Rhinolophus ferrumequinum: one gene and its partner. The protein of the gene in region 1 interacts with the protein of each later gene in a biochemical or structural test. Links are inferred from orthologs where the notes say so. Each region holds a gene or a part of one and is shown on either strand. Other genes may lie near its edges.

Evidence for each region.
Region 2: the proteins of DAB1 (region 1) and LRP8 form a complex in vitro, tested with the Homo sapiens proteins (2 studies listed by BioGRID). The link is inferred for Rhinolophus ferrumequinum from reciprocal best matches to the Homo sapiens genes DAB1 and LRP8.

What each region holds. Positions count from the first base shown.
Region 1 is NC_046292.1:41,418,843-41,426,386, forward strand, and holds the start of DAB1 (disabled homolog 1), read right to left. Parts: upstream 3,021-7,544; 5' UTR 2,912-3,020; intron 2,764-2,911; exon of another isoform or gene 2,651-2,763; intron 1-2,650. UniProt on the Homo sapiens protein: Signaling adapter of the reelin-mediated signaling pathway, which regulates the migration and differentiation of postmitotic neurons during brain development.
Region 2 is NC_046292.1:38,163,332-38,170,221, forward strand, and holds the start of LRP8 (low-density lipoprotein receptor-related protein 8), read right to left. Parts: upstream 3,018-6,890; 5' UTR 2,975-3,017; coding exon 2,869-2,974; intron 2,110-2,868; coding exon 1,990-2,109; intron 1-1,989. UniProt on the Homo sapiens protein: Cell surface receptor for Reelin (RELN) and apolipoprotein E (apoE)-containing ligands. LRP8 participates in transmitting the extracellular Reelin signal to intracellular signaling processes, by binding to DAB1 on its cytoplasmic tail.

The sequences.
Region 1 (7,544 bases):
ATAAGTAATTTTTATTCAGATTTTATTGTTGAATACAATGAACATGATTAAATGTTTCAGATATGCCTATTCAGACCTTAAGCAAACCACCAAAAAAAAAAAAAAAGAAAGAAAGAAAGAAATGAAAAACTACTAAAAATCATCTTCTAAATCTGTTTGGGGAAGAGCTTTAATTGCCAACTTGATGTGAAGGACTGAATTCCCACTTGATAGGCACTGTTCCCAAGAAGATAGTAACAACACGTTTGCACTTCCCACCTCAGCCTCTTCTCTCATCCCTGCTGATCCTCTCCGAGTTGCCAAATAGTTACAAGGTCAGTCTTTCAAATCACTGCATTTTGAACTTCCTAAACCTTTGAGAGGGCCTCTGTGTATGGAAAAGAACAATAGCACTTCCAAAGCCATGTCTGGGAGTTCTTCAAAACTCCATTTGAATGCTGGGGTTTCAATCAAAGACATCAGCAATTTCTGATTGCTTAGAAGTTGACTTTTATACAGCTTTGATTAGGTCGCCCTTCTCAATAGGAAATCAAGAAAATCTCTGATCCCTTTTAGATTCCAGAATTGTCTCCAAGCCTTGTCAGGATAGGAAGTGAAAGAGCCGGAGGGGCTGGGGCAGGGGCGGTGGAGCTCGCTCCTCGTCACGCAATCTCTCCCCTCCTGCACATCTATCTTCAAGCCTGGGCAATTCTGGGTTCCGTCCAGAATCACGCACCACTGAGATAATAAAAACAATGGGTGCTAATTCAGGGGGTGGGGATGGTTTACCACGTTATGGCTTTCCTGAAGACCTATCATTGGCACATAAATGTACAAACGTGAACCCAATAATCAGGGGGTTCTGAATGTAAGCTACCTTCATATGATTACTTGAAAAAATGTTAAGTATTATGAAGTGTCAGCGGAACCCCCACAAGGCCTTTATTCAAAACCATCAACATTGCGAAAGTACTTCGAAATGGCCAGTAGGAGGGGAGCAGAAGGGAGGAACAAGCGACAGAGGATCCTCCTGCGGTCCCGGCAACTCGCTATAGAGGACGGCACTGTAGCATCCATTTCGGAGGACTCGCTGGCCCACCCAGCTCCGGGGCAGCAAAAGGCCCGCTGGCTTCCGCAAGCTTTCCACTCGCCCATCTTTCTAAAGGAGCTAAGCTCAGGCGTGCGCCAGCATCCAAACGCACCCGCAGGCACCCACCTCCGTGGGCACGCACCCCACCCTCGCCGACACACGCCGGAGCACACAGATGCCCGCGACGCGGCGCTCTCAGCTCCTCCTCCACCGCCAAGCCTCCAGCGAATGCCAGACTGCTGTCGCCAAGCGCCCCGGGCTTCCCCACCCCCATCCCATTCCTTTAGACTCTCCCAGCCCAGGCGGAAGTGCCCAGGCGAACCCCCAACAATGAGGACTTGTGTGATGCAGTTGGGGGTGGACGGGGAGCTTACAGGGAGTAGAACGTACACAGTCTGGCGGGGTCGGGAGGGAGCTGTGCAGGAGCGAAGTGGCATCAGCCTCTGGCAGCAGCCTTCCCTGGTGCCCTCCGCCTCCCAACCCTGCACCATCCCGCGTCCGGTCCACCACCCACACAAAGGCGTTTTAACAGGAGCAGAAAAAAGATGCGCCCTCCCACCAGGGGTCATAATGGTACTCTGCAGGACGAAGGCAGACGGGAAGGAGAGTCCGGGCTACAGTAACCACAGCGGTTTTGAAATTTACTTTGTACGCTCATCCCAAAACCCCTTTCCGACGGCGCGACACAAACTCCCCTCATCTCTGACTCCCTGACTCCAGGTTTTCTTGGCGACTGAGTCCTCCTTTTAGGGCTTCCTTAAGAGCCAAATCTTGAGGATTTAAAGTTTCCCCAGTAGGAAAAAGAAAGAAAAAGAAAAGAATTAGAAGAAGAAGAAAGAAAACCCTGAGCTCTGCATCCGAGGCAGAGCATGGAGTCTAGAGCATAGAAAAGCAAGAGGTGCGGGTTGGGGAGGCAACCTATTGGGGTGGCAGGGCGCCTGGGGAGTGGAACGGAGGGGAGGAAAACGATGGAGAGCCCGGCCGGTGGAGGACCCGGGGAAGGGCTGGAGTCAGAGGCGACGCGGGCTCTAGCTCTGACTGCTGTCTGCGAAAGCGTAGGGGTTCCTGGGATACATCCGATTTTTCCACAGGTCGGGGCAGAACCGCAGCGCGCAGAGGAGTAGGGAAGTGAAAACTGGGTTTGGCTGAGTAAGAAAGAGGATCCAGCCCCGGGACGCCGCCAGCGAAGCAGGGAGAAGGACTCGAGAAAACCGGGTAGCTTTTGGAGTGGGAGAACGAAGGTCCGTGGTTGGGTAGAGACTGGAGCGTAGAAGGAAGGAGGTTGCAAGGGGTCCTGGAGACAGACAAGTATTTGGGGTGAGGTCTGGAGAGGGGACCGCGAGTGGTCAGAAGTAGGGAGATTGTGGGTTATGGTGGAGACGCAGAAAGAAGGCTCAGAGGTTGCCCCTTTCCCCAGCAACTGGAGGGAGCGGGCGGAAAACTGCAGTCGCTGTCCCCGCGGTACCCCTAACCAAACTCCTGAGAGGGGTGCCCTGGGTGTCCCCGCGCCTTGTGCCCACCGGGCAACTGCCCGCTCTGAACTCCTGTCCTCACGGAACTCCTGCCGCCGCCGCACCTCACCTCGGCTCGCCGCGAGCATCCTCCGCCGCTGCCGCAGCCGCGCGGGAAGCGGCTCCCCATGCCCGGCGGGCGGCAGCACTCAGGCACGCTCTCCAGCCCGGGGAAGCCCCGGCGATCACGGAGCTGGGTCCATCCTCCCCGAGAGCCACGGCCCCGCGTCAGAGCAGGGGGAGGAGACCGCCCTGTGTGCAGACCCGCCTCCTCCTGCAGCCCCAGCCCCTCCTGCCCCACGCCCACGGGGCGCCCGTGGGCGCTGCTCACCTGCTGGCAACCCAGCCGCCGCCTCCGGGGTGCCCGCCGCGCGCCCCTTGTCCCAGCCTTGCGGCTCCTGCTCTCGCTCCCGCCCGGCGCTCTCTGCGCTGCCCGAGCGCGCTCCGAGGGTTTAGCCGAGTCGCGGTGGCGACGAGGAGGAGGAAGAGCGAGCCAGCGAGCGAGCGGGGGCGCCGCGGTTCGCCGTGGCGCCTCTGGGGCCCTTGCACTCACTCCCCAGCCCGGCGTGGAGGGGGAGAGCGGAGCAGAGAGCACAGGGTACCCAACCCCGGCTGTGCCAGCGGAGAGCGCGTGGGGGAGAGAAGGAGAGAAAACTACCGGACTCGGGTTTCAGAAAGTATCCAGTGTTTTCGCCACCATGACCACCACCACCACCAGCTGCAGCCCTCGCCCGGCCTCCCTCATTTTTATCTAGGGCTACTCTTTTATCCAAACCTCTAAACATAGGCACACCCAAATACAAAGAGCGCCAGTGGGTGAGAACTAGAATTGAGGTTCGGCAAGGACATGTAGCCCCCACGCAGGAGGGGGCGCTAACTCCCAGCGGCCAAATGTGGTTTGGCAGCTCTGGTCTTCGCTGAAACTTCCCACGCAAAGTTGATAGAGGAGAGGGTTGCATCTGTCACGTTTTCATCAGTCCAGGGACTCAGGCAACTGAAAGTATGCAGGCCCCAGGTAAACCCCAACTCGCCCCTTCCTACCCAGCCTCCCCACTCCTTTTCTTAAAATTCCTAGGAGAGGAGGAGTCTCAGATTAGAACATGCTTGGGAGAATACCCCAGCTTCCTACTTCTGGTCCTGGTTTACAAAAATTCAGTAAGTGGCAGAAAATATTGTGTCGGTCTGGAAATTTTTCTATCCTGAGACTGGATTCAACTCCAGTAAATGCTTGTTGTGGTATATTGGCCTCCAGAGGGCAAAATGCCAGGTGTGGGAGGAAACAAATCAGATCAAGTGCTGACCCATTGGAGCAGGTCATGGAAAAGGAAGAGTCAGGAAACTGTCCTTCAAAAAGTTTATTTTTATCCTTTGTAGGGGCCACACTTCCTGTCCTCCAGCTGTGTAATAATAAAGCTAATGTGGTGGATTTGAGTTTTGTTTTTTTTCCCTTATAGCTTCTGTCACTCACCCATGAAAATTTAATGAAGCATTTAGGGTTATTACCTCTAGAGTCAATGGGCTAAAAATATTTAGCCTAATGCAATCCTTGTGGAGCCAATAGGTCTGTGGCTTGTACATCCAAAGTCATCGAGAGACCCTCCTTTTCACCACAAAATTCACGACCCATTAAACTTATTCCGTAATAACAGCTTCTGTACAAATGGAGGCCCCAGTGTATGGAGGCTGTCATGCACCTCCTGAAAAGATAGCAATTTACACAGAGACAAGAAAAACGTGTGAGGTCATTGGCAGGATACAATCTAGGGGAAATAGTTGATCAGAGGACACTCCCAGCAAGGTGGGAGGCAGGTGCCCCCTTGATATAACTGTTTCTACTGACTCCTGGGTATGACCAGCAAATCTAATGGTGGGGACCACAAAACTGGCTCAAGTCTCTCCGGCTTTTTCAATGTTCTAGAGAGTGGCAAGAGTTACTATTGAACACTTAAGATTCATTTAGTAGGAAGTTCAGGCTCTCCAGCCAACTCTAATAAGATTAATAAAAGACTTCAGGTTCCTACTCTGTAAAGACAGACATCGGGAATCTGAACTCAATACAAAAAAAACAGAAATAAAAACAAAAACACCAGGGAACACAGACCAATCAAGAAGACTTGGTTGAAATAAAAGGAAAGAGTATAGAAAACTATTACGCACTTCAGGTGGCTGGGGCAAATGTCAAACTTTAGATTATCAAACAGAGGTCGAACTTTTCATTGACTCTACCAAAAAAAACAAACAAACAAAAATCCAAAGTTTCTCCATGCTTCAGTGGATAGCCAGGGAACATAAAAACCATTTACATCCATTTTAATATCCCACATGTAAGAGTTGTTGCGATCATCCCTCTTCTACCTTGTTCTGTTTTCAATTGACATCATGATAACAGACACTGAAGGGAGTGTGGAACACTGAGTTGGAAGAGTAATAGAAATGGAAAAGGCTCATGTAAAACTCTATTTCTATTCAGTGCTGGACATGGTCCACTATGGAAACTGGGCAAATTCCCATTAAATCCAACAGGGGCAACAAGCTGCAGCTGTTCTCAACTCCAGGCTGGAAGAAAGCATAATATGTAGATTCTAACTGCACACAGCTGCCCAAGGACCTAATAGTCTTTTGGGTTAAGCCAAGCCGAATTTTGAAGTAGTACTATTTTAACTTATGCTAAACATGTCAAATAACAAGTCATCTCAAATTTACGGTATTTTTTCTTCTCATTTAAATAACAAGGCCATTTGTATTAAGTTTTGCATATGAAAAAAAATCCATATGCTTTCTTCTACCATCTACTCTGAGAAACAACAAAGTAATGAGTACAGCAAAGATGTATATATTGCTTATTATGTTTCAGGCACCCTTCTGGGTCCTTTCCATATCTTAATCATTTAGCCTTCGTGCTAACCCAGTGAGAGAGGTACTCTCATGGTGTGTACTGGATAGAATACAGACTGGAAGCTGATGGGCCTGCATCAACTTTGACAAGTTACTTACCTCTCTGAACTTCTAAATTCTACAATGGTGATACCTACTTCGTGAGACACGTACTTCATGAGATTGCCGTGAGCCTTAAATGAGATAATGCATTGGACATGGTGGGAACAGAATAAGTCACACACTATGCATTGGTTCTCTTTCCAGAATTCCAAACTAGTTAATTTTAAGTCAACAACAACATTTATGGAGTCCATTCTATGCATCAGGCACTGTGCTAGGCATTGGACATAATGATGATAAATCAGAAACAGATCCTGCTTTTGAGAAGCTCAGTGTCAACTGAATAAAAAACATGGGCATGGATAGCATGCAGATGGCAAAAGGAGTTTTATTGAATTCTCATAATTCATCCTTATGCACTTGATTCTCAAGATACTCAGAAGGGCTGCCTATTTAACTGCTGTTTGAAACTGACCCATCACTGAAAGCAAAACCAAATGTCAGAAATCTTAAATCCCACTGGCAATAACTCATCCGAAGAAAGCAATGCAAAGTAGCCTGTTTTGTGTATTCTATATGATTTAAAATTCTCTTTATTCCTACATTTGTTTCAAATATACCTTCCATTGGATGGAGTATAATAAAATGAATTTGTGCTGTAAGCGCTGGGAGTTTCAAACACAAATTATTATATAGCCACCATTTATTAAATAGTTTAAGTGCTTGCATATGCCAGGAATATGCTAATATTTCTATACACATAAAGCTCTCAAATTAATAAAAAATTAATGTTCAGAAGGAACATTTTTACAAAGCTTATTAGAGACATCATGTGTTCAAAATATACTAACATATAGAACACAGAAAATTTCAAAGGTTAATACCAAAGGTGTAAGTTTCTCACAGTCCCTTTCATTCAAAGTCATGTTCAAACTCAGATTGTATTCTATTCACTTATTCAAAAAATATTTACTGATCACTTACTCTATACCAGACATAATGTCAGGCATGAGCAGAAGATAAAAGCAAAACAAAAATCTTACTCTCCAACAAGCCATAGCCACATGAAGGAAACATGTCATCATGTTGCACTGCGATCAGTGCTATCCGTGATAATGCTAAGTACAGGATTTTAGCGGCACATCCAATAGGGGTATTTAACCCAGGGTAGGATGTTAAGAAGACCTCACAAAAGAAGTTGTATCACCCTGAAAGATAAGGAGTAACCGGATGAAGAAGGGAAGGGTATTTCAGGCAAAGAAAAGAGAATGTGCAAAAGCACAGAAGAAATTATTCTCTGGGGGATGAGACTGTAGTTGACTCTAGAAAAACAGCATAAACAAATAGGAAGGGGTCTGGCTTGCCATGTTCAAGACTTTTGAATTTAGTGTGAAAATAAAGGGGTCCAGTTTTGAAAAAAGCAGGAAAAATATTTTGCAAACCTTACATTATCCACATTTCAGACACTTTTCTTCTCTGCTGTAGAAACAAGTAAACTATCCAATTTCTATTTCTCTTCTGAGGTCAAAAAAGCAATGAAAAAAAATTTCTATGTGGCTTCATCAAAACAGAAGATCCCTTCTTTTATGATACTGGCCTTGCTTGATTCCAGGGAAAGGTTGTTTGGCAGTATTACTAAACTTGACTCTGGTTTACAGTCACTATAAATAACAGTCCTTTTATTTTTCCAAGGAGGGCGTGGAGGAGAGTAGCAACACTGCAATTGCATTTATGCCAGCAGTCTGCTCTTTTTAGCTAAATGCACAGAAGAAACAAAGTGGAGAGTTAAAGTGATTGTCAAAGGGCTCATAAGTCCCAATACAAACCCCCAATTTTTTCACTCATAAAGTGGCATTAAGGGGATGTTTGTACTTGAAAATAGGAGTGGACTAAACGTATCAGAAAATGACTGAATTTCTGATGCCTAGAGAGTATCAGGGCAGAGAAGAATCAGCACATCACGTGACATCGCTGCCATGTATTTTGTGACTACTGTGTTGTTTGTTTGTTTGTTTTGCCTCCTTGGT
Region 2 (6,890 bases), about 3.3 Mb from region 1:
ATGCATTCCCAGTTCCTGGACCACCCTCCAGGGTCCTTCTGTACCACATTCCGCACCGCAGCAGATAGTGCCCCTGAGCTGGAAGGTAGGCGGACATCCTGACCGAGGACATCCTGACCCAGTTCTGTCCTTCTCCACTGGGTGACCTTGGGCAAATCACACAACTTCTCCACCAGCGACCTTATCTACAAACAGGATGACAAGAAAAACTTCTGCTCTTCACAGCTTGATGTTATAAAGAATCCGGGAGATAGTGAAATCAGCCTAGAAATGCAGTTTCTTTTTCCCTGCCTCACCCTCAACACTCCCACTGCAAAAGGGACCATAGAAGAACAACTCCCAGGGATGAGACTGACTACAATATTTTACCCCAGTTTGGCCATATTCATAATTTCAATAGCACTGGGAAATGGTCAGAGTTGTGATTAGGCTAAGAACTTTGAAATCAGATGCTTAAATCCAAACTCTTACTTAGCAGCTCAACAGCTGTGGGGCAAGTAACTTAATATGTCAGTGCCTCCGTTTGTTCAGTCTGTAAAATAGGGCTAGTCTGAAGATTCAGGGAGTTTATGTAAAATAAGCACTTACCACAGTGCTTGGCACACCGCTACCAGTCAGTACATGTTAGTCTCATGACTCCCAATTACTAGAACTGGTCCTCAAAACCAGGGCAGGAATCGTTAGCCTAAGTGGTCAGGTAAGGAAACTGAGGTAGGAGGAGAAGATATGCCCCAGTCACGGAGCGAACTCTGGGTTGGGTCTGAGAAAATAAACCTGGAGGCTGACGGGAAAACCTAGAAAAAAAAGAAAAAACTCGAGGACTCAACAGAGGTGCCTAACCAGGTGTTCTCTCTACCACGCGGCCACCCCTCTCACTCTGCGGAGCTTTGAGTGTGTCCTCCTGTAAACCCTGTCCTCCGTGGCCATCGGGCTGGGCCTGTTCTCCAAGTACTCCAGGGCCTGCACACAGTAGGCGCCTAGTAATGAAGAATGAATGACCACCGGCGTCCATGTTTCCCACAGGCCTGTTTTTTTGTTCCTGGAAACACTCCACCGCGACAACAGTCACCTAATTCTCTTCCAGTCCCAGAGACAGCCGAAACCGCTGCACCCCAACAGAGAACTTCCAAATCAGTCGGCGCCCAGGTGTACAAGCACCACACTCAGCAAAGACGGCCCACTACCAGCACACAGCAGGGGCCTTCACGCGCGGCCTGGCGATCCTCGGGTCCCTTCCTGGCCCCCTTCGTTCTGATCTGCCCCATGACTCATGCCTGAGCCGAGGTGGCAGGAGAGTGCAGTCAGCTAACCAGGGTGGCACAAAAAGGGCTTCACCGTGACTAGGCAGAAAAGCAACCGGCGTCAGGGCCCAGGCCCCGCCTGCACCTACCTCCCCCAGGGTGTGCGCGGGGGTGTGGCCGGGGCGGGGTCAGGGCAGGGCCCCTGCACCCTCCGCGCCCGAAAACTACACACCCTCCCGCTCCACGATTGGCCGCTCTGGACACGGGGGCTTATGGGGTGGTCCTCGCCCAGCCAATCAGGGGCCCCGGGGAGCCCATTCATTCACAAAAAATCAAGAAGGAAAAGGAGCGCGGCAAGGCCTGGAGCTGCGTGGAACTTTGAGGCACGCGCGCGTTCTGTGGAGCCGATGCGGGAGTACGGGAAAGCTGTATCGCTGGAAGCTAGACTCGTGCAGGGACGGCGCTTCCCGGTTCACAGTTCCGGCCCAGCAGCCGGGTGTGGCGTGCCCTCCATCAGGGCCACATCGCCCCGGGCTCCGCCCAAGACCCCATTAGGACACGCCTGCCGCCCAGCTCCAGCCGTATTGCTCTGAGCCACTCAGCCCGGAGGGAGGCGGCGCCCGGGCGGCTTCCCGGCTTCGATCTGCGACAGTAAGGTCCACGCAGGTGGCCCGGCTGCAGCTGCCGCCACGTGCGCGCTAAGCAAGGCGCCCCCCACCGCTCTCTCCCAATCCTGCTGGCCACTCACGGCAGTCGTCCTCGTCGCTGTTGTCGGAGCAGTCATCATCCTCGTCGCATCTCCATACAGAGGGGATGCAGCGTTCGTTCCGGCACCGGAACTGGTCCTCTTCGCATTCCTTGACCGGCCCTGCGCAGGGAGAGGGGAGTGAGCCGGACCCACGGACCATGCAGTCCTGGCCACCCGGAGGGGTCTACTGGGGTGAAGGAAAGGGACAATGCTGAAGCTAACCGCCCCGGGTACCTCGGGCGCCCTTGATCCTAAAGGAGGGCAGGAGGGTTCCTGGGATGGCGGGCAGCGCCGTGGCACGACGAGGCCAGGCACACAGTCTGTTTCACACGATTTAGGCATACCCCCCATTCAGACACACTCACCCACACACTCGGCCCATAGTCAGAGACCTACGCAGACAGCACACAGAGAGCCCACAAACACGCCGCGACACACGCACTGGGCGCAACGGGCACATCCTCCTCTCGCAGGCTGCCCCTCTTTCTCAGCAGTACGCAGGGATCCCCGGAAACGCATTGTCAGGCGGGAAGTCGCCTGGCTCCGCTCATCGCCGCCGCGGAGAGCTCGTGTCAAATGAACCCCAACCACTGGAATCAGCCCACACAAAACCATCAATGACCAACCCTCCCTGCAAAGTTCCGGTCCGCGGAGCGTCCACTGCGCCCATCCCCCAGGAGCAGAGCCCAAAGCACAGGGAGCCGCGGGGGGCGAGGGACAAATTATGGGATAACTCGGTCTGTAGGAGTCTATTCCCCACTAGCGCCTCTGCCAGGCGGGGGTTGGGGGCCCTGGCGCAACCCGCTCCCTGTCCGCCGGGCCGCGCTTTGTTGGCAGCTCCGGCAGCGCAGAGCCGGGCCGGGCACCAGCTGCACGCACCTTGGCCGCCAAGCAGTGAATCTGCCGCCGCCGCAGGATGCTGGAGCCGCAGCAGCAGCAACAGCAGCACCAGCGGCCGGAGCGCGCCCCGCTCGGGGCGGCCCATGGCGGGCCCCGGGCTCCGGCCGCCGCGCCCCGTGCACCCCGTGCCGCTGCCGCCGCCGCGCTTCAACCCGCCGAGTCCTTGCCGCGGCGCCGGGGCTGCCGCTGCCCCCGCCGCCGCCGCCGCCGCTGCCGCCCGCCCCGGCTCCTCGGCTGCATTTCAAGCAGGTTCCGTGACGCTCGGCGGCGGGGCGGGCTCAGGCTGGGCGCGCGGCCCCGGCCCTGGGCTGCCGCCACCGGCGCGCGCGCCCCCTCCCGCTGCCGCCTCCGCCCCACGCTCCTCGCTGCTGCCACCTCTCCCTCCTCCCTCATGTCCTTGGTCCACTCCTCCCTCCCCAGGCTCTTGGTGACCGTGCTCAGAGTCCCCCTGCGTGCTGGGCGCTGCAGACGCTGGGGTGAGCCTAGCGAGGTCCCTGCCCTCAGAGGTAGACAGTCCAGGGGAAGCAGAACAGGCTGCCTGGAGCAGGTGACAGGCTAATTGATGGAAGGTTGATGGATGCCTAGGAGTGAACTTGGGCCGGAGGGGAGAGGATGTTCCTAGATGCACAGGCCTATGTAGTGTGCACATGGCGCTGAGGTGATGATACACAGGAGCTGGGATACCAGGATGTGCGAGATCAGGGAGAAGGTGGGGGAGAGGGACTGGGTCTCTGCACCCCGCATCTGCTCCAGCCCTGATTACACATCTGAGTAGCTGGTTAATGTGCTCATGTACATCTGTGCACGTTACCAGCTCACGTGACCATGGCCGAGGATGTGAGGCAGGTGACTTGGGCCTGGTGCAGACTTTATTCATTCATTCTTTTTCGACATTCTCCAGAGGGCAGGCCAGAGGGGAGACAATCAGAAGGACCCACAGGGACAACATGGTAGTCCTTGCTGTGATGGAGAAGGGCAGGGACTGTGGGGCCCCACAGAAAGGATGTATCATCCCTGCCCATAGGGAATGCACACTCAGGGCCTCTGTCCGCCACTGCTGCAGGCCTCTGTATGAATGAGAAGGTCCCTCCTCTGGAAGGTCACAGCCCCACCTCACCCATACCGGGGTGCAGGGTGCAGACCGCAGACCCAGGATGAGATTTTAGCACACTGCTAGTAAGCAAAGCCCAACCCCCACAACCTTCTTTGGACAATGAGGCTTGAGGGCATTGGCCATTAAAAGAGACAGACTCTGTTTCATCAGCAACCTCTGGATATTACTTCCCAGAAAGGGCAGGCCCTTAGCAATGGCTGTGGCCACTCCACAGAAAGCCCAGCAGGTACTCCTGCCATTACGCCTTCTATCTTTGTTCATTCAGCCAACCTGTCCTGGGCCTAGAGGTGCCAAGATAAATCAGACATGGTACCAGCCCTGGTGGGGAGACATACCGTCAACAGACGACAACGAAATGCAGGCACGCTTTCAACAAAAACTTAGGGAGCACCTACTATATACCAGGCATTGTCTGAGGCCTGGGGATACAGTGTAGAAATAGATGAGGTCACTCTTGCTCTCCTGCAGCTGACATTTTAGTTGGGAAAGACAGACACAAAAGCAAGAGAATAAAAAAGATAATTTCAGATCACAACTGCTGTGGAAAAAATAAAACAGTGTAATATAAGAGTGATGGCAGGTAATTTTGGAGAGGTGATCAAGGAAGGCCTCTCTGAGTTGGTGACATTTCATTGAATGGCAGGAAGGAACCTGTCATAGATTGAATGTTTGTGTCCTTCCCAAATTCGTATGTTGAAACCTAATCCTCAGTGTGAGGGTATGTGGAGTGATGGGCCTTTGGGAGGCAATCAGGACATGAATGGCATTAGTGCCTTCATAAGAGAACCCAGAGAGATCTCTGGCCCCTTCTACAATATGACAAGACAGCGAGAAGAAGGCTAGCTATGAACCAGGAAATGGGCTCTCACCAGACACCAAATCAGAGGGCACTTTGATCTTGGACTTCTCAGCCTCCAGAACTGTGAGAATTAAATTTTTCTGTTGTTTATAAGCCACTCGATCTATGGTATTTTGTATGGCAGCCCAAACAGAGTAAATGGAGCCCAACCACATGAAGATCATGTGGAACAGCATTCCTGTTAGAGGGAAGAGCAGTGCAGAGGCCTTGAGGTAGGCTGGAGCTTGGTGACAAGGAGAAGTTGGTGACCAGGTAAGGTCAGAGGGATTCAACAAGGCCCTGATCATATGAGAGCTTTATAAATCGTAGTAAGGAGTCTGGATACTGTTCCAAGCACAATAATGCCCACTGTGCCAGCAATATGCCCACTGTAACAACAGGGTACCTGGGACTATGGAGCGTATAGAGCACCTCCTAAAGACCAGATTGACCTCCCCAGCTCAGCCCTTCCTCCTTCACTCTGTGGTCTTAGGAAAGTCAGTTCCCATCTCTGAGCCTCAATTTCTCATCTGTAAAATTGGGGAATTTCCAAAGTTCATTCTAGTTTTAAGATAATGGTGTGGACTGAAGTTCAGAGGCAGTAAGGTAGAGAGATTAAGAGCCTGGGTCAGACTGCCTGGGTTTAAGTCTGTTCCTTCCCTTCTTACTTATATGACCTTGGGCAACTCACTTAACCTCTGTGGCTCAGTTTCTTCATCTGTAAAATGGGAATGATGAGGGTTATAGTGAGGATTTTATTAGATGAGATTATGTATGCACAATATGCAATATACAGTAGGTGCATAATAACTTTGTTATGTTGCTATTATTCAAACATAATTCCCTATTCAAAAACCTCTGATGACTTCCCAACACAAATATTACAGATTGAGACCAGGCAAAGTGGGGGGTGTCTTTGATCATACTGTTCCACATATGTCTAGTTGCAAAAGTGGGCAACTCCTTGTCTCTCAACAGCCCCCCTCAGGAGAAAGTTCTCCAGGCTCCCATCAACCCTCACCTAGTTAGGGCCACTTCCCTCTTTCCCCAGTCAGCCTGTGATCTCCTTGAGGACAGGAACCTGCTGTCCTGCATTTCTGAGTCCTTGTTTGTTCCTGCCCTTACTGAAGGTTTCTGTAGCCCCAGAAGGACTGTGTCTTATCATCGTTATATTCAGAGGATAAATACAAGGCTTGACATATAGCAAGCATTAGATAAATGATGTTTAAATACTTGAAAAAGTTAAAAGGAAAACCATATCACGTTACAATAATAGCTAATACTTATTGTACGCTTGTGGGTGATCATCCAAGTGCTCTAAATGCTTTAATTTATTTAGTCCTTACAACAGCTCCATGAGGCAGGTTTTACGTTTATCCCATTTCATAGATAACCAAACTGAGGAATGGGTAGGTCACACAGCTAGTAAATAGGTATTCAAACCCAGATGGCGGAATGGGGAATTGTTCAGGGCACATAAGTTGCTTAATTCCAGTGAGGGGCAAATGGAGAAAGCCCAGCCCTTGGTACACACCAGACACCAGATGAACATTGAGGTCCTGGTACACCTTCTGTTGCCCGGGGGACTTCTTGCTTTACCTGTCCTCTCTCTCCATCCTAGGCTGACTCAAAGATATGGGCCTTGTCCACTCCTGGGTTTCCAAAGAAATCCCTCAAATCCAACCCAAAGTGCAATGAATTCCCTCCCTATGAGACAAAAACAGGGACATTCCACCTGCAATCAGCAAAACACCCTTCTCCGCCCCCCTCAAGCTTCCAGGACCTTCCTCTAGAGTCACCAGATGCCTAGCAGCCCACCGCATGCACATCTAGTCCCTCACGCTGCCCCTCAAGAACTGAAGCTCCAGGCCTCTGCCAGGTTGTACCCTCTGCTTAGAACACTCTTGCACTGGCTAATTTCTAGTCATCCTTTGGGCCTCAGTTCCAATACCTCTTCCTCTGAGAAGCCTTCCAGCCTGGTCTGGAGAGGTCCTGCCTCCTCCTCTGGGCTCCCACAAAACTGAGTTTCCCAATCTCTCTGATCATACC